7 linked regions of the Callithrix jacchus genome follow. The protein of the gene in region 6 purifies or fractionates together with the protein of the main gene of each other region. This does not show direct contact. Links are inferred from orthologs where the notes say so. Each region holds a gene or a part of one and is shown on either strand. Other genes may lie near its edges. The genes, in order: MTCL1, WASHC5, TNKS1BP1, CNOT1, KIAA1671, CAPZA2 and TWF1.

Region 1 (4,084 bases), on a different chromosome or scaffold from region 6:
TACAGTTTGCATGGTGTGTCTGGTATTTGCTCAATGTTCACACACACTCAGGTGGCAGTACGTTCTAATGATGCAGGTGAGGGAACTGGGGCTCAGAAAGGTGTAGTGCTTTGTGCATGGGAGACTCAAGTGTTAGAACCGGTGCCGAGGCTCCAGGTTATCTGAGAGGAAAGCTTGCAGGACTCGGAATCCTGTGGACCTGGGTGTAAACACTCTCAGCCAGGGACTGGGTGAGGCATCGCAGGCAAGCGACTTTACCTCCCTGCGCCGGTGCCCTCCTCCTTACCGAAGACAGCAATTCCAATCCGGGATTGTGGTGAGGCTTAAATAAAACAATGCCCATTACGTGGCCAGCAGGCCTGGCTCACAGCCGGAACTATAAATGTGAGTTCTCTTTCTGACCCTCGGCTTGGCGAGGGCTCCTCCTGTTTCGGCAGCAGCTCCTCCTCCTCTGAGCTCCTGAGGCCACGGGGGTGCCAACTGTGGAGCGCCTGCCGTGCTCGTTCTGACGCGAGAGCTGCGTCGAGTACCAGCGATCCTTAAGGAGCGCGGGACCAGGGGCACAGCTTGGAAAGGACAGCGGGGGAGGGGACCGGGCTCGGGGAGGCGGGCGGAGGATGGAGGGGCCTGAAGGGGGCGTTGTCAGCCGCGGCACAATCCTTTCCCAAGTGGGCGCCGCCGCCCCTTACCACTTCGCCTCCGCCTCTTCCCCTCCTCCCGAGCTCCTGGCCGCGTCTCTAGGGCCTCAAAAAGAAAGGAGGGTCCCCGGAAAGGCGTGTGGACCCAGCCTACGCCTGCCCCCAAGGGCCAGCTCTGCCTGGTGCCGGCCCCGCCCCTGCCCGGTGCCCGCCCCCGGGAAGCGCAGGCCCCGCCCCTGCCCTCGCCCCTCCCCCCGCACGGCGCCGGCTGGCAAGAGGCGGGGCATGCGCACCGGCGGCTGGCGAGGGCGCTGGGCTGTGGGGCGCGCGCGTGCGGCTTCCCTCAGCCGGGAGCGGCGGGGGCGGGCGCGGGCCGGCGGTGGGCGGGGTGCGGGACGCGGGAGCCGGGTGCGCGCCACGAGCACCGCCGCGGCACCAGTGACCGCGAGCCCAGAGCGCGGGGTCCGGGCATGCAAGCGGCCGGGAGCCGCCGCGCTGCTGAGCCGCGGGAACTCGATCCGCGGTGACCTCAGCTAGGGGCTAGCGCGGCGGCGGCGGCGGCGAGCCCCACGGGAATCCTACGGGCCGGGGTGCGGGGCGGGGGTGGGGTGACGGCGGGAACGCGGGGCGCAGCCCGGGCGGGGCTGAGACAGTGATGAGCGAGCGCGCGGGGAGGCTGCACGCCGCCGCCGCCGCCTCCCGGAGCATCTGCCGCCCGAGCTGCTGCCCGCGGACCCGGCCATGGAGACGCTGAACGGCCCCGCGGGCGGAGGCGCCCCGGACGCGAAGCCGCAGCCGCCGGGCCAGCACCACCGCCACCACCACCTCCACCCGCTGGCCGAGAGGCGGCGGCTGCACCGCGCGCCCTCGCCCGCCAGACCCTTCCTCAAGGACCTGCACGCCCGGCCCGCTGCGCCGGGTCCGGCGGTCCCCTCCTCCGGCCGAGCCGCGGCGCCCGCCGCCCTGCGCTCGCCCAATCTCGCGGGCAAGGCACCTCCCTCGCCGGGGTCCTTGGCGGCGCCCGGCCGCCTCTCCAGGCGCAGCGGCGGCGTCCCGTGCGGGAAGGACAAGCCCCCGCCGGGACCTGGGGCCAGAACGGCGGGCGGTGCCAAGGCTGCCTTGGGAAGCAGGAAGGCGGCGCGCGTGGCGCCCGCGGAGCCGCTGTCCCGGGCTGGGAAGCCTCCTGGAGCCGAGCCGCCGCCCGCCGCTACCAAGGGCCGCAAAGCCAAGCGCGCCTCTCGGGCGCCCCCCGCCCGCACCATCGGTCCTCTGACCCCGGCCGCCCGGATCCCCGCCGTGACCCTCGCGGTGACCTCGGTGGCCGGCTCCCCGGCTCGCGGCTCGCGCATCAGCCACACCGACAGCAGCTCCGACCTCTCCGACTGCCCCTCCGAACCCCTGTCGGACGAGCAGCGCCTGCTGCCTGCAGCTAGCAGCGATGCCGAATCCGGCACGGGCTCCAGCGACCGAGAACCCCCGCGAGGAGCGCCGACGCCGAGCCCGGTAGCCCGGGGAGCGCCGCCGGGCAGCCCCGAGCCCCCCTCGCTCCTCGCCGCGCCTCTCGCCGCCGGCGCCTGTCCCGGGGGCCGGAGCATCCCGGGCGGGGTTTCCGGGGGATTCGCGGGGCCCGGCGCGGCGGAGGATGCCAGGGGGCGCGCGCCGCTGGAGCGACTCCTCCCCGGGACCCCCAGGGAGCCCAGCCTGGGCGAGCAGCCTCGACTCGTGCCGGCGGCGGAGGAAGAGGAGCTGCTGCGGGAGATGGAGGAGCTGCGCTCGGAGAATGACTATCTCAAGGTGAGCCGCGCCCCGGCGGCAGGTATTCCAGGGCGCCCTGGGAGGGCCTGGCTGCGGCGGGGACCCACCAACCCCGCCTTCCCGGGCCTATCCAGAGCCTTTTCCCTCCGGCCTTCCACGGTCCTGCCCTCGCATTGTCAGGCATTGGGAACTTAAGCCCAAACTTCTGGAAGGAGCAGCAAGACCTGCGGGTCCCCTCCAATTCACAACCCACTTCGCTTTTGTCACATCCAGAAGTCTTGCGTCTCTTCGCTGATTGTTTTACTTTTGTTGACCTGTTGGGGCAGAGGAGGCTGTAGTCGTCTTGGGGACATCAGCCGACACCCCCATCCCCGCTGAGACGTGCCAGCCTCACCTGTGGGAACAGGTGATCTTTCGCCAGGGATCTCTGGCCTGGCACTTGCCGGTGTGGCGGTTCAGGACGGTGACACGGAAGCGGGGGCAGGCCCTGCTGCGGAGCCGCCCACCCCCCTCTCCTGCAATTACAGAAAGAGCTGGGGGCCCTTAGGGTCTCCTGGGCTCCGACAGCCTGGGTAGAGGGACCGAGTCGTTTTCGGTGGTCAAGATGAAGTTCAGGAGAGGTTCCTGGAACGTGGCTGGGTTGAGGAGTAGCGGTGTTGTGCGGGCCAGTCCTTTGTAAGCACCCAGGAGCCGGCTTTCTGTGTCAGGAGAGGCCACGCCAGCACTTTCTAAGGAATCGCTGCGCCTGCTGCATTCTGAGTATTTTCCCCAGGGCCTGCAGGCAGTGGCCTCTTAGTCTCCTTAGCACTGGGTGCTTAATCCGGCTCCATCTTTTTTCCTTGGTATGGGACTGGAGCTACATACTGGGTTCCCGGGGTTAGAAGGATCCAGGTGACTTGAGAGAAAATAAGGAGAGTCGTATTGATGGCAACTGTTTTATTTATTGCAATCCTCAGGTTAGTAAACTACTCTAGTGGCATAAATCTGTTTATCTGTTAAGTCTTAATGAGCAGCCTCCAAACCCAGCTTCTTCAGTGGGTTGTGTTATTTGAGTTGTTTTCTCAGCAAATGATAAGCCTAACCACTACGGGCCCAGTTTTTGGCTAGTGAGACTGAGGATTGGGTTTTAAGGTAGATGGTGGTGAAGTATGCAGTTCACAGGGAAATCAGAGGACATTAATTGCTGGGTGGCCTCCAAGCCTAAATTTCTTATGGAGCTGCTCCAACCAGCTGAGCCCTATTTTACTTTTTGCAAGAAGTAACAGTGAGGCACAGAAAGAGAGCTGGTAAAAGATGGACTTACTGCAAGATGTTTCAGATAGTATGGTTGCTATTGCTTTCCTCACTTACTCTTAGGTAATAGACAACAGAGTGAAGTTCAAAGGCAACTATGTTTTGAGTGACTCCATCATGAAAGCAGCACTTCTGTAAATCTTCAACAAATGTAAGCTTTCTGAGGGTGACAAGATAATCTTGTTTTTGTATCCCCTCCCCCTAGCATAACCACTGACTTACAAGATTTCTGATTGAATGGTGTTTATCCAAGTGACTGCTATGCAAGGGAAAATTGAGTTCTATAAAGAAGCTTCTCATTATATTTTGGTCTTAAGGTAGGCAGTCCATCATTTCAAAGTTCATTCTTGGTGCAACTGGTTATTTGCTTTATTTTTTCAAGTTGTTAGATTCTCAAT
Region 2 (4,093 bases), on a different chromosome or scaffold from region 6:
CACCTATTAAAGCCCTCCGAAGACCACCAAACTAACGCAGGTCTAAGTAGGATAAAACTTTACACCAGGGGTGTCCAATCTTTTGGCTTTCCTGGGCCATATTGCAAGAAGAATTGTCTTGAGCCACACATAAAATAAACTAACACCGACAATAGCTGATGATCTTTAAAAAAACTGCAAAAAACTCAAAATGTGTTAAGAAAATTTACAAATTTGTCTTGGGCCACATTCAAAGCCATCCTGGGCCACATGTGGCCTGCAGGCCTTGGGTTGGAAACCCTTGATCTAGACTCATGAAGAGGAGGGGAAGCTATGATGAACAGTTCCAATGGCTGCCAGATTTTGGATACCATGACAGGGCAACACTGTCCCTGGGAAAAACATCTCAAAGCAAAGTAACATTACCTGCCCTTGACTCTACTCTCTCCCAACATACAGAAGGACAGACAGACTCAGCACCTGCATGCACACATTGAGGGAAGCTTCAGTCTGGGATAATGGCAGAAATCAAGGCCTTTATATGTCAATCTCCTATTTTAATCCTTAGGCCCTTACTCTAGAATTATACTGTAGATGACTTTAAAGGAACATGAGAAGGGTAATAATAATCAAGTATGTTTGGCAATAGTAAAACAAATATTATGGGTCTTTAATACCTAGGTGAATCACCTTCTAAAATTCTATATATAAACTTTATATTAAATTTTTTAATGCCAAAGCAAAATATGAATTATATTTAACAAAGTTACTGAAATGAACTCACTGCTTGTAATCTCTTTTGCCCCATGAAGAGCACTTGTGTTTTCTATTTCTAATAGTGTAAGTATCTCCTGCTAAGTTTTTGAAGATGGAAGGGGTTAAAACAAGATTATCTGAAAGAAGGAAATCACTTAGTTACATTTTATGTACTAGACCTCCTAACCTGGACTAGTTATATTTTCCATGTAACAAATGGAATTTCCATGATTTGCACAAATATAATTGGCTAGAGTATCTGGTAAATAGCCCTCAGTTGGTTGAAGTACTAGTCGTGAAGAACAGAATCTAAGAATCATCACTAAAAATGCCTAGCCAGGAGCAGTGGCTCACACCTGTAATCCCAGCACTTTGGGAGGCCAAGGTGGGCAGATCACATCAGGAGATTGAGACCATCCTGGCCAACATGGTGAAACCCCGTCTCTACTAAAAATATAAAAATTAGCTGGGCGTCTTGTCGCATGCTTATAGTCCCAGCTACTCGGAAGGCTGAGGCACGAGAATCCCTTGAACCCAGGAGCAAGACTCCATCTAAAAAAAAAAAAAAAAAAAGCCTAAGCAAGTTGCAGCTACCTAAGAAGTAGGTGGATAGCTTTACAAAGTGTTATGACTCAGTTAAGTCTTAAAAAACCGCTTTAGAATTAGGTCCAAATAAACACTGTAGAAGAAGCAATGCTAAATTATCCTTTCAGAGGTTCTCTTGGTGCTAGGGATTAAGAAAACTCTGAAAGATCAGTTTTCTCAATACAGGCTATATTACCATTGGCATCAAATGGAACCAGAGATCCCACTATATATATATTTTTTTTTTACAAGTTAGAGTGCCGGTAACTTCATTTTTAAGAATTTGGCATGGAACTGTGATTTTCAGTTTGGGAGACAATCCTAATCAAAAGACATGCTTTCAAGAATGAAGCATGGCATTATTACACCAATTACTCAGAGTACAGAACAATATTTCTTAAGGAAATCCAACTGTCGTGGGAAAACACTGTTTACCCTATTCAGAGGATAAAAGAAGGCAGTTCTTATTTTTAAGCCTTTCGCCAAACCTCAGTTCCATAAAGGAAGCACTAATCTCCATAAATACATTATCACAAACAAAATATAATGGTTGTTGATCAAGATAAATGCAAGCTGCATATGTTTTCCAGAAAAGTTCTGAAATGAGGCTGATCCTGAAATCATGGGAAAGGCAGGTGAAGGACAATTAGAGAAGGTGGCTCTCGTGCACAAAGACAGTAAGTAAAACTTCTCGCTCACTACCTCCTGCTGATGTTTGAAGGAGCTCCATACACTTGCAATCAGGAGACCCAGTTGCATGGCTCTGTGACTTTTTTCTTTTTCCTGTCCGATCATAGAGGAATCAGGACCCTGGGAACTTTTTTTCCCCCCAAAATAAAGAGGATTTTGGCATCAGTCTGTCACAGGTGAAGGCATTAAGGCGCAGCAAACAGCAATGACTTGCCCAAACTCACAGCCCATGGCATAACTAGAATGCAAACCTGGGCCCGTCAGACTGTAAAAGTCCTCACTAGCCTTTCAATTTTCTCAATAGCAAATAGAGAAATAACGACGATATCCACACAGCAGTGTTCCCGGAAACTTGGGAGGGTGAGATTCGGACCAAGCAGCGGAACGGCGCTTCCTAAAGCGAGGAAGGGGTGTGCAAAATGATTTCCCCCAAGCGGAGACGAAGAGCTGGACTGCAGCCCCCGCCCCAGAAGACTCCTAAGCCCTCCATCCCAAGTCTCCCACCCAGACTGCATGCGACGCTGCAAACCTCCCTGTGGCTAGCGCGGCACAGCGGGGAGGGGAAGAGGACAGTGCAAAAACGGGGAGCGGGCACCGCATCCCCACTCACCTGTCAGCAGGGCCGCGCCAGCGGCGCACGCGCAGGGCAGGCGGTCGCGCGCCGAGTCCGCACCTTGGTCTCACCCCTCCCTCACGGTGACGGTCCTCTTCTACCTACAGTCCCCGACCAGGAGCGGGTCCGAGTACTGCTTCCGCCCCCTGACGCCCAAGGCTGTCACATGACCGAAGCGGCGGGGAACAGGGAGGGACGTCATGTGATCACTCGCCGGCGACGGCTGATGACGCAAGAGCCCGCGCTCACTTTACAGAGGTAGGCGAAGGGGGATGAGGAAAGGAGGTGGGTCCAGGTGGGGGAAGTCGGTGTGGCACCAGACGGAGACAGCTCAGGCAGCCAGGTAGGGCAGAAGCGGGGGACAGCATTGGGGAGGGTGGCGGGAGTTGTCGCCTCCTTCCGGGGCGCTCCACGGGGACCCTGAGCCGGGGGTCCTTCGACCTGGATTATGGTTGTGGCACTTTTCACGCCACAGTAGTGAGTCTGGGACAGTTTACCCTCCTGTCCGAGACGCCATCTCCATCCTTTAGCCCCAGGTGTGGAGGGTAGGGGCAAGACCACAGATTTTTTGATCCAAATAGATCTAGTTTGAACTGACTTTAAAAGCAAGGCCAAGGGCAGGTCATTTGAATAAACTCTCTGGATCTGTTTCCTCTTCGCTTATGTAGATTGCGCTGAGAATTGGCGATAAGGAGAATGAAGTGCCGGGACACCAGTTTATGGCATTCTAGGTGACCTAGAAATGATGAAGTCTGTTGTTATTTTTGTAACTTGCCGAATCTTTATTGATCCCCCATTTTGTGTGAGAAACTGCTTTATATGCAGTAGCATATATCAGGGTTCTAGTTTTAAGAAGTTCTCAGAATAAAGTAGCTGCAGACATGTGAGCAAATAGCTGTGATGAGTTTCATAGTAAGAGTATGTGCATGTGATACGGATAATGGTAGCATGAGGGAAGGAACAGGCTATTGTATGAGAGAAGGATTCAGAGAGGGGTATATCCTTGCATGCTGAAAAAGAAGAGGCAGCTCTTGCTGACTTGTACAAGGCTCCCACGGATTTAAAGGAAGTCAGCATATTGTCTATAAATAACATGCAGAGAAAAAACTCAGGAAATGCACAACCTTGTTCTAAACTTTCTTGGAGATCATAGGTACCGGGAAGAAAAGATCAGTGTTATTAGCTGGGGAGACATCCAAGAGAGATTGATTTAAACCAGTTATTCTAACCGGACGCACTATTGACATTTTAGGCTAGATTCTTTTTTGCTGTGGGGTTGTGATGAGGGCTGTCCTGTGTATAGTAGGATGTTTACGAGCATCCCTGGCCTCTGCTTACTAGATGGCAACCATAATGTCTACAGATACTGCTAAATGTCCGTTGGGAGAAGGGTAAAAATCTTTCTTGGTTGAGAACCACTTAAACCAAGCGATGAAAGCTGGTGTCTTAGTCAATTTGGGCTTCTGTAAC
Region 3 (3,500 bases), on a different chromosome or scaffold from region 6:
GTGACCCTAGCTCTGGCCGAGACCACCGAACCCAGGACAGAGGCTCAAGACTCCTGTAGGGTGTCCCCCGAGCCTGCGGGGCCTGAAAGCAGCTCCCACTGGCTAGACGACCTCCTGGCTTCACCACCACCCAGTGGTGGCAGTGCACGGCGAGGAGCTGGAGCTGAGCCGAAGGATGCACAGTCCCCAAGTACCTGCTCCGAGGTGAGGATGGGCATAGGGAGTGGGGGGCTTCTGGGGACAGAGGCCAGGGCTTGGGTGGGCTTCATTCTTTGAATGTGGATTTTACGTGTCAAGAGCTTGGGCTGTGGTAGCGAGCAGGGCAGCTGTGGACCTGCACATCGTAGGTCCTCAGAGCCACACGGGATGGTGTGTGGGGTTTCGTGTAAGGCTCTATCCCAGCTCCAGCACCCGCTAGCTGATTGGTCTTGGGAAGAATGTACCTTAACTGCTAAGCTTCAGAGTCCTTCCATGATAGCACTGGCCTCTGAGAGTTAAATCGCGGGAAACTGAGAGGTGGGGAGCTCTGAGTATGGTATGTGGCAGGTGCGGAGTATTCAGTCTTATTATGGCAATGTTATTCAAGGCACAGTAGTGTAGCCATTTAGAGTGTGGGCTCCTGAGTTCGTCTCCTGGCTCTACTGTTCCTTTGCCCAGGTGTGACCTTGAAAGAGCGACTTTTCTGCCCTCTGCCTCAGTTTCCACATCTGTAAACCGTGGATCACAAGATGAGCTCTACCCCCGAGGGTGTTGGCAAGGGTTCAATGAGTTGTAATGTCTAAAGTGCTAAGAATAGCCCTTGGCTCATCCTAAGTGCTTAATAAGTGTTGGCTTTTACAAACGTTATTAACATTGAGCTCCAGACCTGCTTTGTAGACAGGCAGCTGGGGCTTAGAGGAGGTGAGCCTTGTGCAGTTACCCAGCAAGTTGGTGGCTGGGCCTAGGCCAGCGCTGTTTCCCTGCCCGATGCCCTTTCTCTTACCAGGCTGCCTCTGAATTTAAGGGCCAGGGGCCAGGTGGCTTTTGAAATTTATTTCTCAGGCCAAGCCTGGGCTGGAAGGGGCGGAGCTGCAGGGGGCCTCTAGGGGCTGGGGGGCGGGGAGGAGGAGGAGCAGGAAGGGGTTAAGCTGACTCCTGCAGTAGGTGTGTCTGTCCCGGGATGTGGGTGACTCAACTGACTCCTGGGCGGGGCTGCCCGATGTGCAGCTGCTCCGGAGGGAGCAGGGCCAGGGTGAGGGAGAGCCAGCGCCAGAGCCGTCGGACAGGTCCCAGCTCGGGGAGCGGCCCAGCCCTGTCCCTGTGCCTGGCTGGCCGCACCCAGCAGCCCCAAGGCGGGCGGGGGGCGGGGGGCGGGGGGCCATGGCCCAGCCTAGGGATGGGGAGGCCAGCATGTCTATCCTGGAGCGGCTGCTGGCCAACGCAGCGCTGCGGGATGAGGCTGGCCGGCTCCGAAGCCCTGAGCCCAGGACTCTCCCGCCCACAAGGGTGAGTCAGGGAGAGTGAGGTGGGGGGTGGGGCGCAAAAACCCCGGGCTGGGATTTCCCCCTGTGCCACAGGCTGCCCCTCCTGTCTTTCCTGAGCCAGGGTGAAGGCTGAGAGGTCTTCCTGGGGAGGACTGGGCAGACAGCACTTTCGTTGGGAAGAAGGGCCTGGGTACTTACAGGAGGACGGGGTCGGATGGGGCAGGGGAGCGGATGGGCTGGAAAAGCTCTCACTGGTGTTGGAAACTTGCTGTGCAAGGGAGGTCACAGAGGCTTTGAATCTTGACCTCTCCTAATCGAAAGGAAAGCGCCCTCCCCGCCATTCCTGTGTGAAGACCACTCCTCTCCTGGCTGTTAGCCAAGTATTGCCCAAGGGTTGTAAACATGACCATGGGACCATCGATTGAGTGCCCACTGCATGCCAGGCACTGTGCCGAGTGCTTGGTCTAAATGATCTCATTTAATCCTCTCACACCAGCCCCATGCAGAAGGAATTATCCTTGTTTGAGGATGAGGCCGCTGAGGCCCAGAGTAGTTAGGTGATTTGCTGAAGGTCACACAGCTTTCTGTTGCCAGGGTGGGGTTCTCAGGCACTGGGCAGCATGGACCTTGCCGGATTGACCCCCCCACACCCCGGTTGAATCTAATCATTGTTTCTTTGTCTGTTTTTTTTTTGTCGTTGTTGTTATTCCCAGGGACTCCTTGGCTGGTCCCAGAAAGATCTGCAGAGTGAATTTGGGATCACAGGAGACCCACAGCCCAGCAGTTTCAGTCCTTCCAGCTGGTGTCAAGGTGCTTCTCAGGACTATGGCCTTGGGGGTGCAAGCCCTAGAGGAGACCCAGGCCTCAGAGAGGGTGACTGGACCAGCAAGTATGGGCAAGGAGCTGGGGAAGGGAGCACCAGGGAGTGGGCCAGCCGGTGTGGCATCGGCCAGGAGGAGACGGAGGCCAGCAGCAGCCAAGACCAGAGTGAAATGACTGCTCCAGGGGGCCTCACAGCCCAGGACCGGGTAGTGGGAAAGCCAGCCCAGCTTGGCAAGCAGCGGAGCCAGGAGGCAGATGTTTCGGACTGGGAGTTCAGGAAGAGGGATTCCCAGGGCACCTATTCCAGCCGGGATGCAGAACTCCAGGACCAGGAATTCGGGAAGAGAGATTCACTGGGTGCTTACAGTAGTCGAGATGTAAGCCTTGGGGACTGGGAATTTGGGAAGAGAGATTCTCTGGGTGCTTATGCCAGCCAAGACGCCAATGAGCAGGGCCGGGATTTGGGGAAGAGGGACCACCATGGCAGATACGGCAGCCAGGATGCTGATGAGCAGGACTGGGCGTTTGAGAAAAGAGATGTGTCCCTCGGCACCTATGGCAGCCGGGGTGTGGAGCCACAGGAACAGGAGTTTGGGAAGAGCGCTTGGATGAGGGACTACAGCAGCGGTGGCAGCTCGAGGACCCTTGACACCCAGGACAGAGGCTTTGGAACGAGACCCCTGAGCTCTGGGTTCAGCCCTGAGGAAGCCCAGCAACAGGATGAGGAATTTGAGAAGAAGATTCCGAGTGTGGAAGACAGCCTTGGAGAGGATAGCGGGGATGCTGGCCGGCCAGGCGAGAGAGAATCAGGGGGCCTGTTCAGTCCTAGCACTGCTCACATGCCAGACGGGGCACTCGGGCAGAGAGACCAGAGCAGCTGGCAAAACAGTGATGCCAGCCAGGAGGTGGGAGGGCAGCAGGAGAGGCAGCAGGCAGGGGCTCAGGGTCCTGGCAGTGCTGACCTGGAAGATGGGGAAGTGGGGAAGCGAGGCTGGGCCGGTGAGTTTAGCCTCAGTGTTGGCCCCCAGCGAGAGGCAGCATTTAGCCCAGGGCAGCAGGACTGGAGCCGGGATTTCTGCATCGAGACCAGTGAGAGGAGCTATCAGTTCGGCATCATTGGTAATGACAGAGTGAGTGGTGCTGGCCTGAGCCCTTCCAGCAAGTCGGGAGGTGGTCACTTTGTGCCTCCTGGGAAGACCACAGCTGGCTCTGTGG
Region 4 (4,091 bases), on a different chromosome or scaffold from region 6:
GGGGGGGGACGACGGAGTCTCACTCTTACACCCAGACTGGAGTACAGTGGTGCAATCTCAGCTGGCCACAACCTCCACCTCTGGGGTTGAAGCAATTCTCCTGCCTCAACCTCCTGGTGCCTGCCACCACACCCAGGTAATTTTTGTATTTTTTTTTTTCCTTTTTTCTTTTTTTGAGACAGAGTTTTGCTCGTTACCCAGGCTGGAGTGCAATGGCACGATCTCAGCTCACTGCAACCTCTGTCTCCTGGGTTCAAGCAATTCTCCTGCCTCAGCCTCCCGAGTAACTGGGACTACAGGCATGCGCCACCATGCCCAGCTAATTTTTGTATTTTTAGTGGAGACGGGGTTTCACCATGTTGACCAGGATGGTCTTGATCTTTTTTTTTTTTTTTTTTTTTTTTTTTTTGTTAGACAGAATTTCACTGTTGTTACCCAGACTGGAGTGCAACGGCACGATCTTGGCTCACCGCAACCTCCACCTTCTGGGTTCAAACAATTCTCCTGCCTCAGCCTCCCTAGTAGCTGGGACTACAGGTGTGCACCACCATGCCCAGCTAATTTTTGTATTTTTAGTAGAGACAGGGTTTCACCTCGTTGACCAAGATGGTCTCGATCTCTTGACCTCGTGATCCACCCGTCTTGGCCTCCCAAAGTGCTGGGATTATAGGCGTGAGCCACTGCGCCTGGCCAGTTTTTGTATTTTTAGTAGAGATGAAGTTTCACCATGTTGGCCAGGCTGGTCTCGACCTCCTGACCTCAGGTGATCCACCCACCTCATCCTCCCAAAGTGCTGGGATTACAGGCATGAGCCACAGCACCCAATCAATTCTAGACTTATTTCCACTAAGACTCAGAAGACCCATATTTGTTGAAAAGGGACCAACTCTCCAAACAAGTTTTATCAACATGTCATCATTTCAGTCAAAGCACAGCTAGCCACCTAAAACCATGTATCATCAATGTGTTTTCTCCTTAGACAAGGTAACAATTCGCAGTGTCCTAAAACGTAATTATTTAAACTGTTACAACCTACCTTCTTAATAGCTAAAATCCTCTGTTGGGTAGGAATACAAACCTGGACCACAGACCACTTAACTATTAAATCCAAGTACCTCTAGAAAAATAAAATTTGAGGCCGGGCGCGGTGGCTCACGCCTATAATCCCAGCACTTTGGGAGGCCAAGACGGGTGGATCACGAGGTCAAGAGATCAAGACTATCCTGGTCAACAAGGTGAAACCCTGTCTCTACTAAAAATACAAAAATTAGCTGGGCATGGTGGTGCACGCCTGTAGTCCCAGCTACTCGAGAGGCTGCGGCAGGAGAATTGCTCGAACCCAGAAGGTGGAGGTTGCGGTGAGCCAAGATCGTGCCATTGCACTCCAGTCTGGGTAACAACAGCGAAACTCCGTCTCGAAAAAAAGAAAAAGAAAATTTGTTCTTAATCTGTTTGATCTTCTTCCTAATATTTTACTTGCCCTCCCTCAGTTTCTTAATCCATGTATTCCCTATTCCTATCAAAGGGACTGTCATAAGGAAAACGCTCAGCATTTTTTTCAAAAAGTTTACTTGTATTTACTCAATTATACACTTAAAAAAAAAATCCAAGTAGTCACAGGCGATCAAATTGTCGAGGAACAGGCAGGGAGATTAACTATTGTTACTCAGTTTTCAGGAAGAAAACTGCCTTTAATTTATTACAGTCCTAAGAAACGTGACATTTAACTTTAGGGGAAAAGTTTGTCATAAAGTTTATTTTAAATATAACATTTTCAAATGCACAGATATCAAGCATTCTTTTTTCATCTACAAAGTTTACTCCTTGCGGAGTTAGTATCTGTGAGCCCTGTTGGGTGAATTCTGCAGAGGGTGGTACTGAAAAAAGTATTATTTGTCTTTGGCCTTAAGTACCTCTACAAGACCTGCAGAGGATCTCTCGTCAGCCTTCAGGCCTATGAGTGCTCAGCTCACTAGCGGGACACTTGTCTTGGGTGAACAGGACCGCCACTATTGCAGACACCGGACCGAGCAGGTGGGGGCCGACTTCAAAGAAAGTGTGAGCGCCCGGGCGCGCTAGTGGAACAAAACCTGTGGCAAGTAATAAGGAAGTGCTCGCTCCCGCCCGCCCTTCCCATCCGGGGACACCCGAAACATGGGGGGCTTTGACAATGTGCAGGGGGCGTAAGAGGGGGAAGAGTGGCAGCTCCGAGCACACTGAGAAAAACTGGAAACGTGCAAAAACTCCAAACACCGTTCCCCCCATCCGAAGCGCTAGGCCTCGGGAGCCGATGCCCACTGCACCCATCCGGGTGCAGAGTGAGAAAGAGTAGTTGAGGAGGTCGTGGGGGGGTTTCAGGAGGATGCAACCCGCGCGAAGCCAGGCCCAGCGACACCAACTGCCGCCACTGCCGCCCCCTGAGCCTCCAGGCCCGGGACAGAGGCCACCCCGGGTCTCATCCCGCGCTCTACCCTCCGCTTCCTAGAGCCTTCTCGCTGGCCTCATCTTCAGAGCGCGAAGCCTCCGAGAGCCGTCTCCCGCCTCGCCCCACTTGCCCGTCCCGGCTGCCTCTCACTCCCCGGAGCTCCGGGAAACGCTTCCAGTGGCCCCAGGTGCACCCCTGTTCCTCCTCCCACTGGCACTGGCGTCCCCAAGCTAACACCGCCACCGTACCCCAGGCCCTGACGCCAGCCCGCCTCACCTCAGACGGCTCCAGCAGCGCTGAACACAGGAAACTCCTGGGTCCCCGACTCCAGCTCTCCTCAACCCCCTCTTCGGTTAACTCCGCTTGTTTCTCGACAAAATGGCGCCGGAGGTCGCGCGCTCACGTCGCGGCCTTTCCCCTCCCCGTTCCCATTTCATCATTCGCTGCCCGCCCGAGGAGGGATGGTCCCAGCGCCAGCCAATGGCCGCGCCCCGCCTGTGGCTCCCGCCCAATCACCGACAGCTACCCGCGGATTTAAACCAATCACACTCTATCACTTGCAGAAGTCGAGGAAGAAACCAGGCTTTTGCTAGCAACTACCAATCCAGACTTCTACTTCGTGGACTGTAGCCAATTGCCGCTCACCAGGCCCAGGGGACCTGAGTCGGAGCCCTCGCGCCTGCGCTCGAGGCGAGGGCCAATAGAGAGACGCTGATAACTTCGATTTGGGGCTTCATGGACTTCCTACCTGCCCTGGAGGGCTGCGACCAGTGGCGCTTGGCATTGCCTTTGAGGAACAATAAATTATGGAAAGGACCCATAGCTCCTCGCCACTTTGTGCAGGAACTACTTTGAGTTACAGTGAAACAGCCTTCCTCCACTTTCCTTTCTCTTTCGAAATGTCACAGTCCAGTAGACTTCGGGGAGTACCAACCGAAACATTCCGCCCCCCTAGTGTCCCTTTGGCGGGGAACACCAGCCAGAAAGCAAGTCAGATAGTGACTAGAGTTGGGGCGCCTTGCATCCTGGGATATGTAGTCGCGCTTCCCTACCCTGTTCTCATCGGAGAAGTACCGCGTCTTCTTCCGTCACTGGCTGCGCCCTAGAAGGAGCAGTACATGCTGGGGGATGTAGTCACACAGGTGGCCACCTGGTCCTCGCTTGCTTCGCTTTCGTCAAGGGAATTTTCTCTTTTAATTCTGCCTATTGAAGGAAACACAAGTGTTCTTCCTGGCTTAAGTCCTAGGAGCCGTCTAAGAAAGGATACCCATGTCCTTTGCTCTCAAGTGGAAAAGCATAGAGACATATTTTGCTATGGTTTGTTTGTTAACTATGATAATTGGTAAGATTTTATGCTCACCTGTACCCAAAAGAGAAAGGACTGGAAGGAAGTGTTGACTGGTTAACTCTATTACCTTTTGAAATTAAAACCTATCCCCTGCTCACCCCTGCTCTCAGGCTAGGCTTAGCAGGTGATCGCCTGGCCATCTGTCTCATATTACCTCTTGTGCCAAAAAAAATACTGAAAAAAAAAAAATATATACTGAAAAAAAAAAAAAAATGATGGTAAAAAACATGAAATTTGCCGGGCGCAGTGACTCACGCCTGTAATCCCAGCACTTTGGGAGGCCGAGGCGGGTGGTTCACAAGGTCAAGAGATCGAGAC
Region 5 (3,500 bases), on a different chromosome or scaffold from region 6:
AGGCATGAGCCATTGTGCCCGGCCAGATGTTTCTCTTTTTATTAAGAATGTGGGCCGGGCGCGGTGGCTCACGCCTGTAATCCCAGCACTTTGGGAGGCCGAGGTGGGTGGATCACGAGGTCAAGAGATTGAGACCATCCTGGCCAACATGGTGAAACCCCGTCTCTACTAAATCCAAAAAAATTAGCCAGGCATGGTGGCACATGCCTGTAATCCCAGCTACTTGGGAGGCTGAGACAGGAGAATCGTTTGAACCCAGGAGGCGGAGATTGCCGTGAGCCGAGCATGCACCATTGCACTCCAGCCTTGGTAACAAGAGCGAAACTCCGTCTCAAAAAAAAACGACAACAAAGAATGTGAAGGCGGTCAGCATAAAATGTGTTTTCATAAAAAAGAACCACAAAACAAACAAGAGCAGGTTTAGTGAGAAAAATCAGAATGGCTTTTTTAAATGGCAGCTGGAAGGGTGAGGGATGGGAAAGAAAAGAGACTAAAGGATGATTGGGTGGGGTTGGTGGCAAGGGCATGGGTTCAGGTCACTAACCAGCTTTGTGCTCCCAGACACTCCTGAGCTGCACTGCTGTGTGGCCTGCAGCAGGTCACTTGCCTTCTCTGTGCTAGATGCTTAGCACACGCTTGTGATGAGGATCACCTGGGATGTGGGCAGGCTCTGCAGTGGGAAGACAGGGTAACAGGAGTGAGGGAATGTGAGGACGCTCCCACTGAGGCTTTTGCAGGGAGTGTGTGTGGTGTGAGTTTGGCGTCAAACCTGGTTTCAAATCCTGACTACAGCTCTTGTTTCCTGGGTGACTCCAGGCCAGTTACTTGGCCTCTCTGAGCTGGTTTCCTTGTCTGTATAGCAGAGATCACTGCTTTTTGCCTTAGTGCTGGCCTCTAGATGTGCTGAGTCAGGGAAAAGTCCTCCAGCCAGTGTTGATGCCTTTTCTACACTCTCGGAGCTGGAGCGCACTTCAGGGATGGGCATTTAGTCCACTTCCCTCCTCCAGAGCTCAGAGATGGGGAGAGGCAGGCCCAAGCCTGCCCAGTGAGGTCAGCGGAGGGCTGTCGTATGGAATCTGGGCTCAGGACTCTGAGGACTCTGTCCCATGCCTCCAAACCATTCTGCTTCAACCCAGACGCTGACTGTTTGCCAAATGTACTTTCTTGTTTGTTTCGTTTGTTTAGCAATTGCCTCTCCGTTCTCGACGTTCCTAAGCCCCATGGATGCACGACTGTAGCCATGGCCACGCGGGTGGAGGTGGGCTCCATAACGCCCTTGACGGCGGTGCCAGGCCTGGGTGAGATTGGCAAGGAGGACACCCTGACGAGGACCTACTTCCTCCAGGCTGGCGATGCCTCTGGGGCTCCCCCAGCCCGGATCTTGGAGGCGAAGAGCCCCCTGCGGAGCCCGGCCCGCTTACTCCCTCTGCCAAGACTCACCCCCAAACCCTTCTCGAAGGAGCAGGACGTGAAGTCTCCTGTCCCATCCCTGCGGCCCGGTTCAACTGGACCTTCTCCCTCTGGGGGGCCCTCTGAGGAGCCAGCAACAAAGGATCTGGACAAGAGGATGCCCGGCTTGGTGGGGCAGGAGGTGGGCAGTGGGGAGGACCTGAGGGCAGGCTCGTCCCTCTTCAGCAAGGCTGTGTTCCTGGGTCCCGGCTCCAACACCATGATTCTCTTCGAAACCACAAAAAGCGGCCCCACTCTGGGGAAGGTGGTCAGTGAGGGGGCTGAGGAGGCCAAGCCGGGTATGTCGGGCTCCCGGCCCGAGGTGGCCACCAAGCCCGCCCTGCCCACCCGAAAGCCTGTGGGGACTCTTCCCCGGTCAGCTCCCCCTTCACGGGACATAAAGCTGCCTATACCCCAAGAGGATGCAGGCCAAGACCAGCCTCCCTCCAAGGCCAGCAGTGTGGAGGACACAGCACAGCCCACTGTGGAGCCCAGGCCTCGCCTGAAGAGAAGGCCCGTGTCCGCCATTTTCACGGAGTCCATTCAGCCTCCAAAGCCAGGCCCCAGCGCGGTGGCCACGGTGGGCAAAGTGCCCCCCACCCCTCCGGAGAAGACGTGGGTGAGGAAGCCCAGACCCTTGTCCATGGACCTCACGGCCCGCTTTGAGAACAAAGAGGCCTTGCTGAGGAAGGTGGCCGATGAGGGAAGTGGCACCACAGCAGGGGACACGGCTGGGCTGGAGAGACCCAGAGCAGAGCGCAAGCTGGACCAAGAGTGTTCAGTCAAGGCAGAGGCTCCTCTTCATGATCCTGATTCGGACTTCTTGGAGGTGGCCAAGAAAATCCGTGAACGGAAAGAGAAGATGCTTTTGAAGCAGGAGACGGGCAGCCCCAGAGCTCCGGGGGGCTCCGCCAGGGTCACCCCCAGCAATGACCAGCATCCCTGGGAAGAAAAGGCCAAGATGGACCTGGAGCCAGAGAAGGCTGCTGAGTCCCCCTTGCCCAGGCTGGGAAGGGGCCTAGAACTCGCTGAGGTTAAGAGCAGGGCAGACGATGGGGAGGCCCCGGCTCCGGCAGGGGGAGAGTGGGTCTCCAGGGGGAGTGTCAGGAAGTGCATCAGCCTGTTTCGGAAGGACAGCACCTCGGCCTTGGCAGTGGGGTCTGAACCCCCTCTGGCTACCCCTGCATCCCCATCAGTGGCACCAGAGATGGAGAAAGGGGTTGTGAGCGTCCAGGAACGGATCAAAGGCTGGGCTGCCGAGAGCTCCGAGGCCAAGCCTGAGGTCAGGAGGAGGACATTCCAGGCTCGGCCGCTGTCGGCAGATTTGACCAAATTGTAAGTAGGCACATCCCACACTCCTGTCTCAGTCACCCACCCAGAGCCCCTGAGGAAGAGGAAACCAGGCTCCCTGCTGGGCACCTGCCGCCCCCCTCAGTTCACCCGTAGCCCAAGAGGAGGTAGCGGCAGTGTCCATTTCTCAGATGAGGAAGGAGCGACACAGAGAGGCAGTGTAGCTCCCCTCTGGGTGTGGCCAGCCAGGGGGCCCAGAGCTCAGTTGTCGTGGCTTTTCTCAGCTTCAGATGTACTGTGTGATTGAAGGCGGAGCTATGTGCCCACGTCACAGAGGCAGAGCAGAAGGGCGAAGTACCGTGAGGAGGTGGGAGCTGGACGTCACTCCAGCCCAGCCGTAGCTAAGCCTTTCTTCTCTAGAGTCAGAGAGAACACTTAAGATTAGGCCTAAGCCTCTGTGAGTGGCCCAGAAAATAAACTCAGGAGTCAAGGTAATTTGGGCAAGTCAGTTGGTTCATGATGATATTCTATGGCGGTCGGTTAGTGATGATACTCTAAGTCAGTTCGTTAATAATGATATTCTAAGTTTCTAAGTCAGTTGGTTAGTAAATGATTTTGTTTTGTTTTCTTTTTTGTGGTTGTTGAGACTGGAGTTTTGCTCTTGTTGCCCAGGCTGAGTGCAGTGGCACCGTCTTGGCTCACTGCAACCTCCGCCTCCCAGGTTCAAGGAGTTCTCCTGCCTCAGCCTCCCAAGCATCTGG
Region 6 (4,074 bases):
CGAGTAGCTGGGATTACAGGCACGCGCCACCACGCCCAGCTAATTTTTTATATTTTTAGTAGAGACGGGGTTTCACCATGTTGACCAGGATGGTATCGATCTCTTGACCTCGTGATCCACCCGCCTCGGCCTCCCAAAGTGCTGGGATTACAGGCTTGAGCCACCGCGCCCGGCCTACTAAAAGCTTTTGAACTTCACTCTACTCATCTGTGAAATGGTAGTAGGACAACTACCTCTTAAAACAAATTAAGTAATGAATGTATCTAACTCAGCCAAGCATATATAAAGTATAGTACTAGATACATCTTAACAGCTTCCCTTTCTTAGATTTGCAATCTAGAATGGAAATTTCGAAAACTTAAAACTTATTATTTTTTAGAGATGAGGTCTCACTATGTTGCCCAACTGGTTTACAACTTCTAGGCTCAAGCAATTCTCCGCATTTGGCATCCAGAGTAGCTGGCATTACAGGTGCAAACCACTGTGTCCAGCTTGAGAACTTATTTTTGAAAATTACCAAAAAGACGGTAGAAAGAGAAATATTAATATATCACTTTCAAGTCCTCTCTGTTTCTGATCCCATACTGGACACATCCTCCACCCCAAAATGAAAAATACCTTTAGATATCTAAAGTGACAAGAACGTTAAAATTTCACTTAACTGGTTACTTGCATTTACCCCAAAAGTTCTGTCAGTTTTTTAATTAGTAAATATAGTGATGAAATTTATATGTATAATATCTACAGAATATTCTTACAAAACACCAAAAATCAAATTAGAATTTTCACTAATTTACCCATAAAACATTTTGCTAGTAGGCGGCGCAAGCTTGAAGACACACAACCTCCTCACTCCTCCTCATGAAGCTTAGTGCCCTGAGACTGCTGGATAATAAGGAATTTTGTAAACCCATTTTTTAAAAGCTTTTTAATTTTAGGCCTTTACAACACATGGCAGGTCTATATTAACTCCCACACAGTATTCTCTCTTCAGCTAAATTTCTAGCCACTTGAGCAACTACTAATTACGACTTAAGAATGGTAAAATAAAAACGTGACAATCTCTTTTTAAACTTTTTAGCACAACTCAATTTTAAATATGTGTTTGTGCACTCCAGTGCATTTTCGGACAGCTACTTTGGGTTATTTACCAAGACTGTAGACGTGAATACTGCACAGCAACTTTTCTGGATACAGGGATCTGCCTACTGGGGGTTATGGAGATGTTGCTCACCCCCATTTTGTTGCTGTATTATCACTTTCACCAAAGAGCACAAGAGGAAAAAATATTTCCAAAATAAAGATGAGATTGACTTCTGCCCATTCACATCGGGAATGGGACGGAACCTTCTCTTTCAGTGCAAGAATACAGTATATAAAAACATCTAGAGCAGAGGGTCCAAATTGAAAATATCCTCAAACTTACGTGAGGATCTGTTAACCACCACAACGTACCTAAAGGTACTTGTATTTTCCTGCATTGGCTATACAGCTTTGGAACTTAAAAATGAAGCACACTTTAACGAAGAGTTAAAGAGCATTTCCAACCCTGCAACTAACTCATTCGTGTCTGTCAGTTACTTCGGGAGTACTTCTAAGTTTGAGAAACCTCAGGTTCCTTTCCGAGAAACTGTCAAAATTAGCAGAGTTCTCCCCTACCCCACTACCCTCGGGAACCGGACGTTCGCAAAAGCCAAAGGAAAGGAGAGTGTAAAAGAGCAACAGTTCAATGAATTATTCGATTTCTCGTTTTAAATATCTGAGAACTTATGTCGTTCACCTGGTTCCAGTGTTGTCACAGCATCTAACATACAGTAAAAGGACTTGCACAATTTCCCCTCTTCGGAAGAAGTCCTAGCAGGAAGGTAAGGTGCCATCAAATCGCCCCCCGGGGGGGCTGCTGCCAACGTGGATAGAAAACAACTATGGGGAGGGGGTCGTCTTTTTGTGAGCAACTCCACTGCCTCTTGAGGAACATGGGAGCTGCAAAGCCTAAAGCTAGAGCCACGAAGTGAGAGGGCGGGCGGGCGGGAGAGAGACAGGCCTCCATGGGGAAAGGAAAAAAAAAAGCATAAAACGTAGAGAATCAGAAAAGGAAGCATTTTGCTTTGGGGAGGGGGAAGTAGAAGGGAGAACTGAAGGTCTGCTTCCTAAGCAATTTTTCCCTTCCCCTCACCCGCCGCTACACTCACAGGCCAGGCTGCCGCTCTGGGCACTGCCCTTGGGCCGCTCCCAAGCCGGGACGCAGACCCCTTTGCGCCCCCGGTCCCCGGTCCCCGGCCCCCGGCCCCCAGCTCCCGGCGCAGGCCCCGCGGCCGGGTAACAGGAGAGGGTCCCGGGCGGCCGCCGCCCTCCCCGGCGCCCGCGCCCCCGCCCCCGCCCGCCGCCGCCTGGCTCCCCTTTCCTATTTTCGGAGCACACACCCTACAAGGAGCGGAGTGAGTAGGCCTGGCTGAGACCTGCCCCCGCGCGGGGCCTCGGGTGACGGACGGGGGCAGGCACTGGGCGCAGTGAGGAAGGGGGGAGGAAGGGCAGCCGAGGGCACCGCCCGCTGCGGGCCAATGCTTCCCCAGCGACCCGACTCCGGGCGCACAAGCCAGGGCTGAGCCGGCTCCTGAAGGCCCGCGCCGCCGCCCCCGCGGCTCTTACCTTCTCTTCATCAGACAACTGCTCCTCCAGATCCGCCATCTTCCTTCTAGCGACAAACCGCGGCGGCGGCGGCGGCGGCGGCGGCCACCTGACTTCCCCTTTTCCGTGCGGTCCTCCGCGCCGCGCACCCCCGCTAAGGGAGGGGCCCGCCGCTCAGGCCGCCGCGCACGCGCCCCGGGAGCCCCGCCTCCCTCGACCGGCCCTCAGAGCCTGAGCGCGGCTGTGCGCGTGCGCGTGCGCGGGCGCCTGGTGGCCCGGCGGGGGACGGTGTCTCCCAGGGCCACCTGCATAGGTTTGCTAGCTTTCTCTCCCCACCAGTGACCATATGGGCTCAGTCTGCGATGAGTACATTCTGAGCCCTTCGTTATGTTTCCATCAAGTCCTGAACTCTGCTAGCTAAAATGTGAAAAGGTGTGCAATAGAAGCTTTTTAAACATTGGTTTTTCAAATATTAGAAAAAATAGTCGGCTTTCATTAAAATACACACACCCAACCCGCTCCATAATTGAAAGATTGCTCTTGATATATTTCTTATTTATCCAACAAATATTTTTTGGTCCTTCAACGGGGTGTGGGGCACTGTGTTAGTCTCCGGGGTTACAGTGTTGAGGTTCCCCCAAAGCAAGCTAGACATGCATGTTCATAGCAGCACAATTCGCAATTGCAGAGATGGAACCAACCTAAGTGTCTATCAACCAACGAGGGGATAGAGAAAATGTGGTATATATACACCATGGAATACTACTCAGCCATAAAAAAGAAGGAAATAATATTTTTTGCAGCAACTTGAAAGGAGCTGGAAGCCATTATTCTAAGTGAAGTAACTCAGTAATAGGAAACCAAATATCCTATGTTCTCACTTAAAAGGGTGAGCTAAGTTCTGGGGGTGCAAAGGCATAAAATGGACTTTGGGGATTGGGGAGGGGATAAATGACTACATACCGGGAACAGGGTACACTGCTCAGGTGATGGCTGCACTAAAATCTCAGAAATCACCACTAAAGGGCTTATCCATGTAACCAAAAATCCACCTGTACTCCAAAACTATTTATTTCAATAAGACAAACTTCTGTTCTAGGAAGCTCACCTACTACTCTAAACAAACATACATTGAACAGCTGGGGCTGGGTGTAGTGGCTCAGGCCTGTAATCCCAGCACTTTGGGAGGCCTCGGTGGGAGGATCACCTGAGGTCAGGAGTTCGGGACCGGACTGGCCAACATGGAGAAAGTTCTCTCTACTAAAAATACAAAAATTAGCCAAGCCATGGTGGCACATGCCTGTAGTACCAGCTACTTGGGAGGCTGAGGCAAGAGAATTGCTTGAACCCTGGAGGGGGAGGTTGCAGTGAGCCGAGATCGAGTCATTGCACTCCAGCCTGGGCGACAGAGCAAGACTCAAAAACAAAAAAAACCAAAAGCCAAAC
Region 7 (4,260 bases), on a different chromosome or scaffold from region 6:
TGGTGGCTTTTGGGGTGGTCCCAACCTAAATGGACATCCCTCTTCTTCAAGACTGAACATACAGTGGTCTTTCCCAAGCATGAATATGGAAGAATTATATTTCTGTCATCAGTACTTCTGAGCAAGGCCAACCTTCTTAAGCAACTTCCCTGAGGCACCAGGATATGAATCAGTCAAAACACTGCAAGTGAACAATGCAATTTTCTCTCTGCTCAGCAATGTAGTTAAAAACTGGCAAATCAGGGTGAACCATTGTGTCAGGAAGAATTTGGTTAGAATGAAACTCCTCCCTATATTTCTTAAATCCATACAAGTCATAAAACTCAGATTAAATTTAGTTTATTCCTGAATATGAGGGTATGTCTGAAAAACAGAGCTCAGATAATAGGGAATAGAACATAACCTTGTTTCCTGTGATCCTTGTAAAGAAAAACAATTGCAGGCCTGTTAATCATTCATTAAAAAGACATTGTATAGTATTTGAACACTGATTAACTTGCACTTATATTATTGACCTGAATAAATTACTTGTTCATTGGCAGATTATAATTTTGTGTGTCAAGGCCCCCAAAATAAGAACTAGCTTAGTTCTGCACCTAGTAGCAGAAGAGAAGCAGTACCAAAAACAAAACAAAACAAAACAAAAAACCAACCCTCAAAAACTAACATTACCCTTCAGAGGGAAACGTTTTTAAAAGCAGGATTGGAAAAGATTTTTAAGTAATATCTGCTGTTACCTTACAAATCTGTCCAAGTGAATTTTGAATAATTATTGGATTAAACAATAAACAGTCAACCTAAAGCAAAGCAGTAAAATAGTATAATCGACCACAGAGGAATACTCAAATCAGCTAATCTCTCTTAGTGGCTGTCTCTTTTTGGAATGAAGAGATAGATACGCTAGGTCTCTAAATGTGTCCAGCTGAAAAGAAAAGTTAACAGTCTGAGATTAACTCAATTAAAATCGTGGAAAAATTTGATGAGAGACAGTTTATAGTATATTCGTTCTTTTAAAACAATGGAGCAAGGAGAAGGCTTTTCTACACTAAATGGTATCGATTATAGAAAGAGTAAACCAAAAACGATAATGTGCACATCTTTTTCAAGCTGAAAAATGCCTGTTTGATAAAATGATCATTTCCGTTTTTGAGCATCCCTTTGCTGAGTAGCGAATGGCGCGTCGGCGGGGTCGCTAGAGGGCAGACGTCGGAGCACTGAGATCTCTCGGTTCTGCGGCATTTTCCCCAGGAGAAGCCGGAGAAGCGACAGCAAGAGCGGAGGCAAGACCCTAGGCAGAGAACTAGGGTCGCGAGGCCGGGGGTTGGACAGCAGCAGATCGGCGGGTCGCTCTGGCACGCAGTCGGCCTCTCGGGGCGGGGCGGCCGCAGGTCGCGGACGGATGACGCGCCGGGGCGGGCGGAGGAGCAGCCACTTCCTGGAGCCGCCGGCCGGGGCCGCTCGCTGCACTCAGCTCCGGAGCCGGGAGCCAGCGGCCGCCGCCATGTCCCACCAGACCGGCATCCAAGGTAACGGCGCCCGGCGCGACCCGCAGGGAAGGGGCTCCCCAGAGGCTCGGGAGAGCCGGGTGGGCTGCAGGGCGGACAGCGCTGGAGTCGGACCCGGAGCTCCGGGAGTCTGCCTCGCGGGGCGAGCCGGGCCTCAGTGCTGCTCCGTGCTCCTGCTTCCCTGGCGCTCCCGGCCTGCGTCCTCTTCCAGCCCGGGCCCTGCTGCTGCCACGTTGCAGATGGACCCGAAATTCGGAGGAGCGAAGGAAATTGGATTTCGAGGTGGCCTGGTTGAAGGGGGCGTGCCCTCCACCGTCCCCGACATTAGTTCAACTTTCCCCCTTTTGGTCAGGTAGGGAAGAGCTGGGACAGTGAGGGCGACTGGGGCTTCCCTACGCTGTCGACAGCCAGGCAAGTTTTCCTTTTCGTGGTGCAAAAGAGAATGTTACGGGACTTTGATTACAGAAAGAAACACGCCAGAATCTTTCTCATATCAGTAGGAGTGCTTCCCAAAACTCTCCGGCATTTTCTTCCCAAATAGGAAAGTGAATTATGTTCTGAGAAATCCCGGGTGTGGAGTGTGTTTTGATCTTTAGGTACTCCCCAAGGGAAACTGAAATCCTGATCTATATGGTTGCACGTAATCATCGCGTGCAGACAGTTGAACGTGCAGTTATATCTGACCTCCATTATTTCCTGGTTTGAAATTGGGCAGTCTAGAAGTGCTCACCTCATCAAGAGTCAAATAATATATCCCCGGGTTACTAGCGATCACTTAACGAGTTCTAGTATAAACTCAAGCTCCTCCTGTCAATTACGAGTTCTCCTAGATGAACACTTAATTGCATGTTTTATTCTTAAAAGATTTTTCATACCACCCCACACATCCCTCTGCACGCATGCACTCACAAAAACAAAGTAGTCTCAAATCTGAAAGCATTGTTTTATTTATCCGTATTAATTTCGATATGTAAATATATAGTTACTGACTTTCATGCTTGAGCCTTATAGCAAGCACTACCTACTTAAATAGTGGTTTCTTGCTGTTAATAGACAACACAGAAATGAAATTAGAACGAAACTGAAGTTTTACTGGAACACAAGTGTTAGTTATTAAATATATATTTATTCAATGAGTTTAATCTAGCTTTTGAGAAATCCACGTTAGAAAAATATAACCTGAAGTAAGATTGAATGCATTTCATTGCCTTTTCTTTAGTCAAGTTAGGATATTTGATATATACTGTTGTTTTTAACGGGAAAATAAAGTGAACTGATGAAGAAGGTGGCTATCATAAGCTTGAAACTGAATTAGAGAATGAAAGCAGGTTCTCAGTATTTTTCCAAAGAGCAATACAAGTTTTTCAAAATTGTAACTTGCTCATTATTGGGTTTGAGTAACTTCAGTATGTTCATCCCTGTGTTATTTCTGCTACAAAATTATGTAGCTAAAACAGATTCAAATTATTAGCATACTTTAAAAATGTTTATATTTCTTAATTGTATAGTCTTCATTATTTTATGCCATTAGTTTTATAATACTGATAATAAGGATGCTACATGCTCCAGATTTTTTCTTTGTATTCTAAATAATTTTTTCCCATATAGATAGCAAAGTATTCATATGTAAGTATTAAAAGTTTACTTTCTTTATCTTTTTTCACAGCAAGTGAAGATGTTAAAGAGATCTTTGCCAGAGCCAGAAATGGAAAGTACAGACTTCTGAAAATATCTATTGAAAATGGTTAGTTAAATATTTTAAAATATTTTTTGTTCCTGGATTAGTGGCTGTTGTATTTTTAAATTTACTGTGTGTTGTCAGTGATTTGAACTATTAATTAATGTGAAACAAGTTCAGATATTACCTTACGGTAACTTGGATTCCTCATATATTGTGCAGGTCCCTATGGGCCCCTGATTTCATTCTCAATTCTGTGACTATCAAGGAAATAGATGTTTTTTGATGTGACTTCTTCCTCTTTTACTTTTTGTGTCTCAGTTTCTGCACTACAGTCCATTTCTAATGTCAGTGCTTCCATCTGTGGAATGGAAATCAGTAAACAGGTGATTATCAAAAACAATAGTTACTTGTGAATTATTCGGTAAAGTTTGTTTTGAAATAGAAACAAAGGATTTCAATCTCCCATTTTCTTCATTTGATTGCAACCTTTGCTACAGAAATGATCATTACCCTTTCTTGTTTTGGGAAAGTTCTGAGACTATAACAAACTACAAATTGATTCTTTAAAAATAATTCTTTAAGCAGGGAATCTGGTTGAGTGGTAGAATTTTTTAAGTCAGGCAGATCTGAATTTGAACAATTTCTGTTATAGCTACTCAATCCCAAAGAATATGTTAAAATATTCCAGTGGCCTAACTTCTTAAGTATCTGGAAATATTTTGCTTTGGAAAAGTAATTTGTTCTTTCACAAACTGGAATTAAATCTAATTGGTTTTCTGTTTTTTTGCTTATATATTAAAACCAGAATAGTTTATAAAATATGCATTTGTTTACAAATAACATTCAATAGGAGTATAGTATATTGTAAAGCAGCATATTTTAAAAATACTGGGCCAAAACTTTAAATGCCATCATTTCCTAAGTGACTAAGGAATTAAAATGGAAAAGTTAATCTAGCATCTCTAAGGAAGGAAAATGCCACTATTTCCTAAATTATTATTTTCTAGTTTTACTTTTTGTTTTGTGAAAATTTTTAAAAAAGGAAAATTCCAAAGACTAAAATCATAAATACCT

Evidence for each region.
Region 1: the proteins of CAPZA2 (region 6) and MTCL1 purify together in Homo sapiens (affinity purification with mass spectrometry; 3 studies listed by BioGRID and IntAct, counting the BioPlex papers as one, with this or other methods). This does not show direct contact. The link is inferred for Callithrix jacchus from reciprocal best matches to the Homo sapiens genes CAPZA2 and MTCL1.
Region 2: the proteins of CAPZA2 (region 6) and WASHC5 purify together in Homo sapiens (affinity purification with mass spectrometry; 3 studies listed by BioGRID and IntAct, counting the BioPlex papers as one, with this or other methods). This does not show direct contact. The link is inferred for Callithrix jacchus from reciprocal best matches to the Homo sapiens genes CAPZA2 and WASHC5.
Region 3: the proteins of CAPZA2 (region 6) and TNKS1BP1 purify together in Homo sapiens (affinity purification with mass spectrometry; 4 studies listed by BioGRID and IntAct, counting the BioPlex papers as one, with this or other methods). This does not show direct contact. The link is inferred for Callithrix jacchus from reciprocal best matches to the Homo sapiens genes CAPZA2 and TNKS1BP1.
Region 4: the proteins of CAPZA2 (region 6) and CNOT1 purify together in Homo sapiens (affinity purification with mass spectrometry; 3 studies listed by BioGRID and IntAct, counting the BioPlex papers as one, with this or other methods). This does not show direct contact. The link is inferred for Callithrix jacchus from reciprocal best matches to the Homo sapiens genes CAPZA2 and CNOT1.
Region 5: the proteins of CAPZA2 (region 6) and KIAA1671 purify together in Homo sapiens (affinity purification with mass spectrometry; 3 studies listed by BioGRID and IntAct, counting the BioPlex papers as one, with this or other methods). This does not show direct contact. The link is inferred for Callithrix jacchus from reciprocal best matches to the Homo sapiens genes CAPZA2 and KIAA1671.
Region 7: the proteins of CAPZA2 (region 6) and TWF1 purify together in Homo sapiens (affinity purification with mass spectrometry; 3 studies listed by BioGRID and IntAct, with this or other methods). This does not show direct contact. The link is inferred for Callithrix jacchus from reciprocal best matches to the Homo sapiens genes CAPZA2 and TWF1.

The regions. Positions count from the first base shown.
Region 1 is NC_133514.1:54,360,533-54,364,616, reverse strand, and holds the start of MTCL1 (microtubule cross-linking factor 1), read left to right. Parts: upstream 1-1,284; 5' UTR 1,285-1,379; coding exon 1,380-2,432; intron 2,433-2,787; exon of another isoform or gene 2,788-3,339; intron 3,340-4,084. UniProt on the Homo sapiens protein: Microtubule-associated factor involved in the late phase of epithelial polarization and microtubule dynamics regulation.
Region 2 is NC_133517.1:72,278,386-72,282,478, reverse strand, and holds the start of WASHC5 (WASH complex subunit 5), read right to left. Parts: upstream 2,801-4,093; 5' UTR 2,621-2,800; intron 1-2,620. UniProt on the Homo sapiens protein: Acts as a component of the WASH core complex that functions as a nucleation-promoting factor (NPF) at the surface of endosomes, where it recruits and activates the Arp2/3 complex to induce actin polymerization, playing a key role in the fission of tubules that serve as transport intermediates during endosome sorting.
Region 3 is NC_133511.1:114,880,011-114,883,510, reverse strand, and holds part of TNKS1BP1 (182 kDa tankyrase-1-binding protein), read left to right. Parts: coding exon 1-204; intron 205-2,176; coding exon 2,177-3,500.
Region 4 is NC_133521.1:16,470,718-16,474,808, forward strand, and holds the start of CNOT1 (CCR4-NOT transcription complex subunit 1), read right to left. Parts: upstream 2,801-4,091; 5' UTR 2,702-2,800; intron 1-2,701.
Region 5 is NC_133502.1:195,971,519-195,975,018, forward strand, and holds part of KIAA1671 (uncharacterized protein KIAA1671 homolog), read left to right. Parts: intron 1-1,185; 5' UTR 1,186-1,240; coding exon 1,241-2,784; intron 2,785-3,500.
Region 6 is NC_133512.1:87,439,940-87,444,013, reverse strand, and holds the start of CAPZA2 (F-actin-capping protein subunit alpha-2), read right to left. Parts: upstream 2,801-4,074; 5' UTR 2,689-2,800; coding exon 2,650-2,688; intron 1-2,649. UniProt on the Homo sapiens protein: F-actin-capping proteins bind in a Ca(2+)-independent manner to the fast growing ends of actin filaments (barbed end) thereby blocking the exchange of subunits at these ends.
Region 7 is NC_133510.1:31,724,201-31,728,460, forward strand, and holds the start of TWF1 (twinfilin-1), read left to right. Parts: upstream 1-1,460; 5' UTR 1,461-1,501; coding exon 1,502-1,526; intron 1,527-3,171; coding exon 3,172-3,249; intron 3,250-4,260. UniProt on the Homo sapiens protein: Actin-binding protein involved in motile and morphological processes. Inhibits actin polymerization, likely by sequestering G-actin. By capping the barbed ends of filaments, it also regulates motility.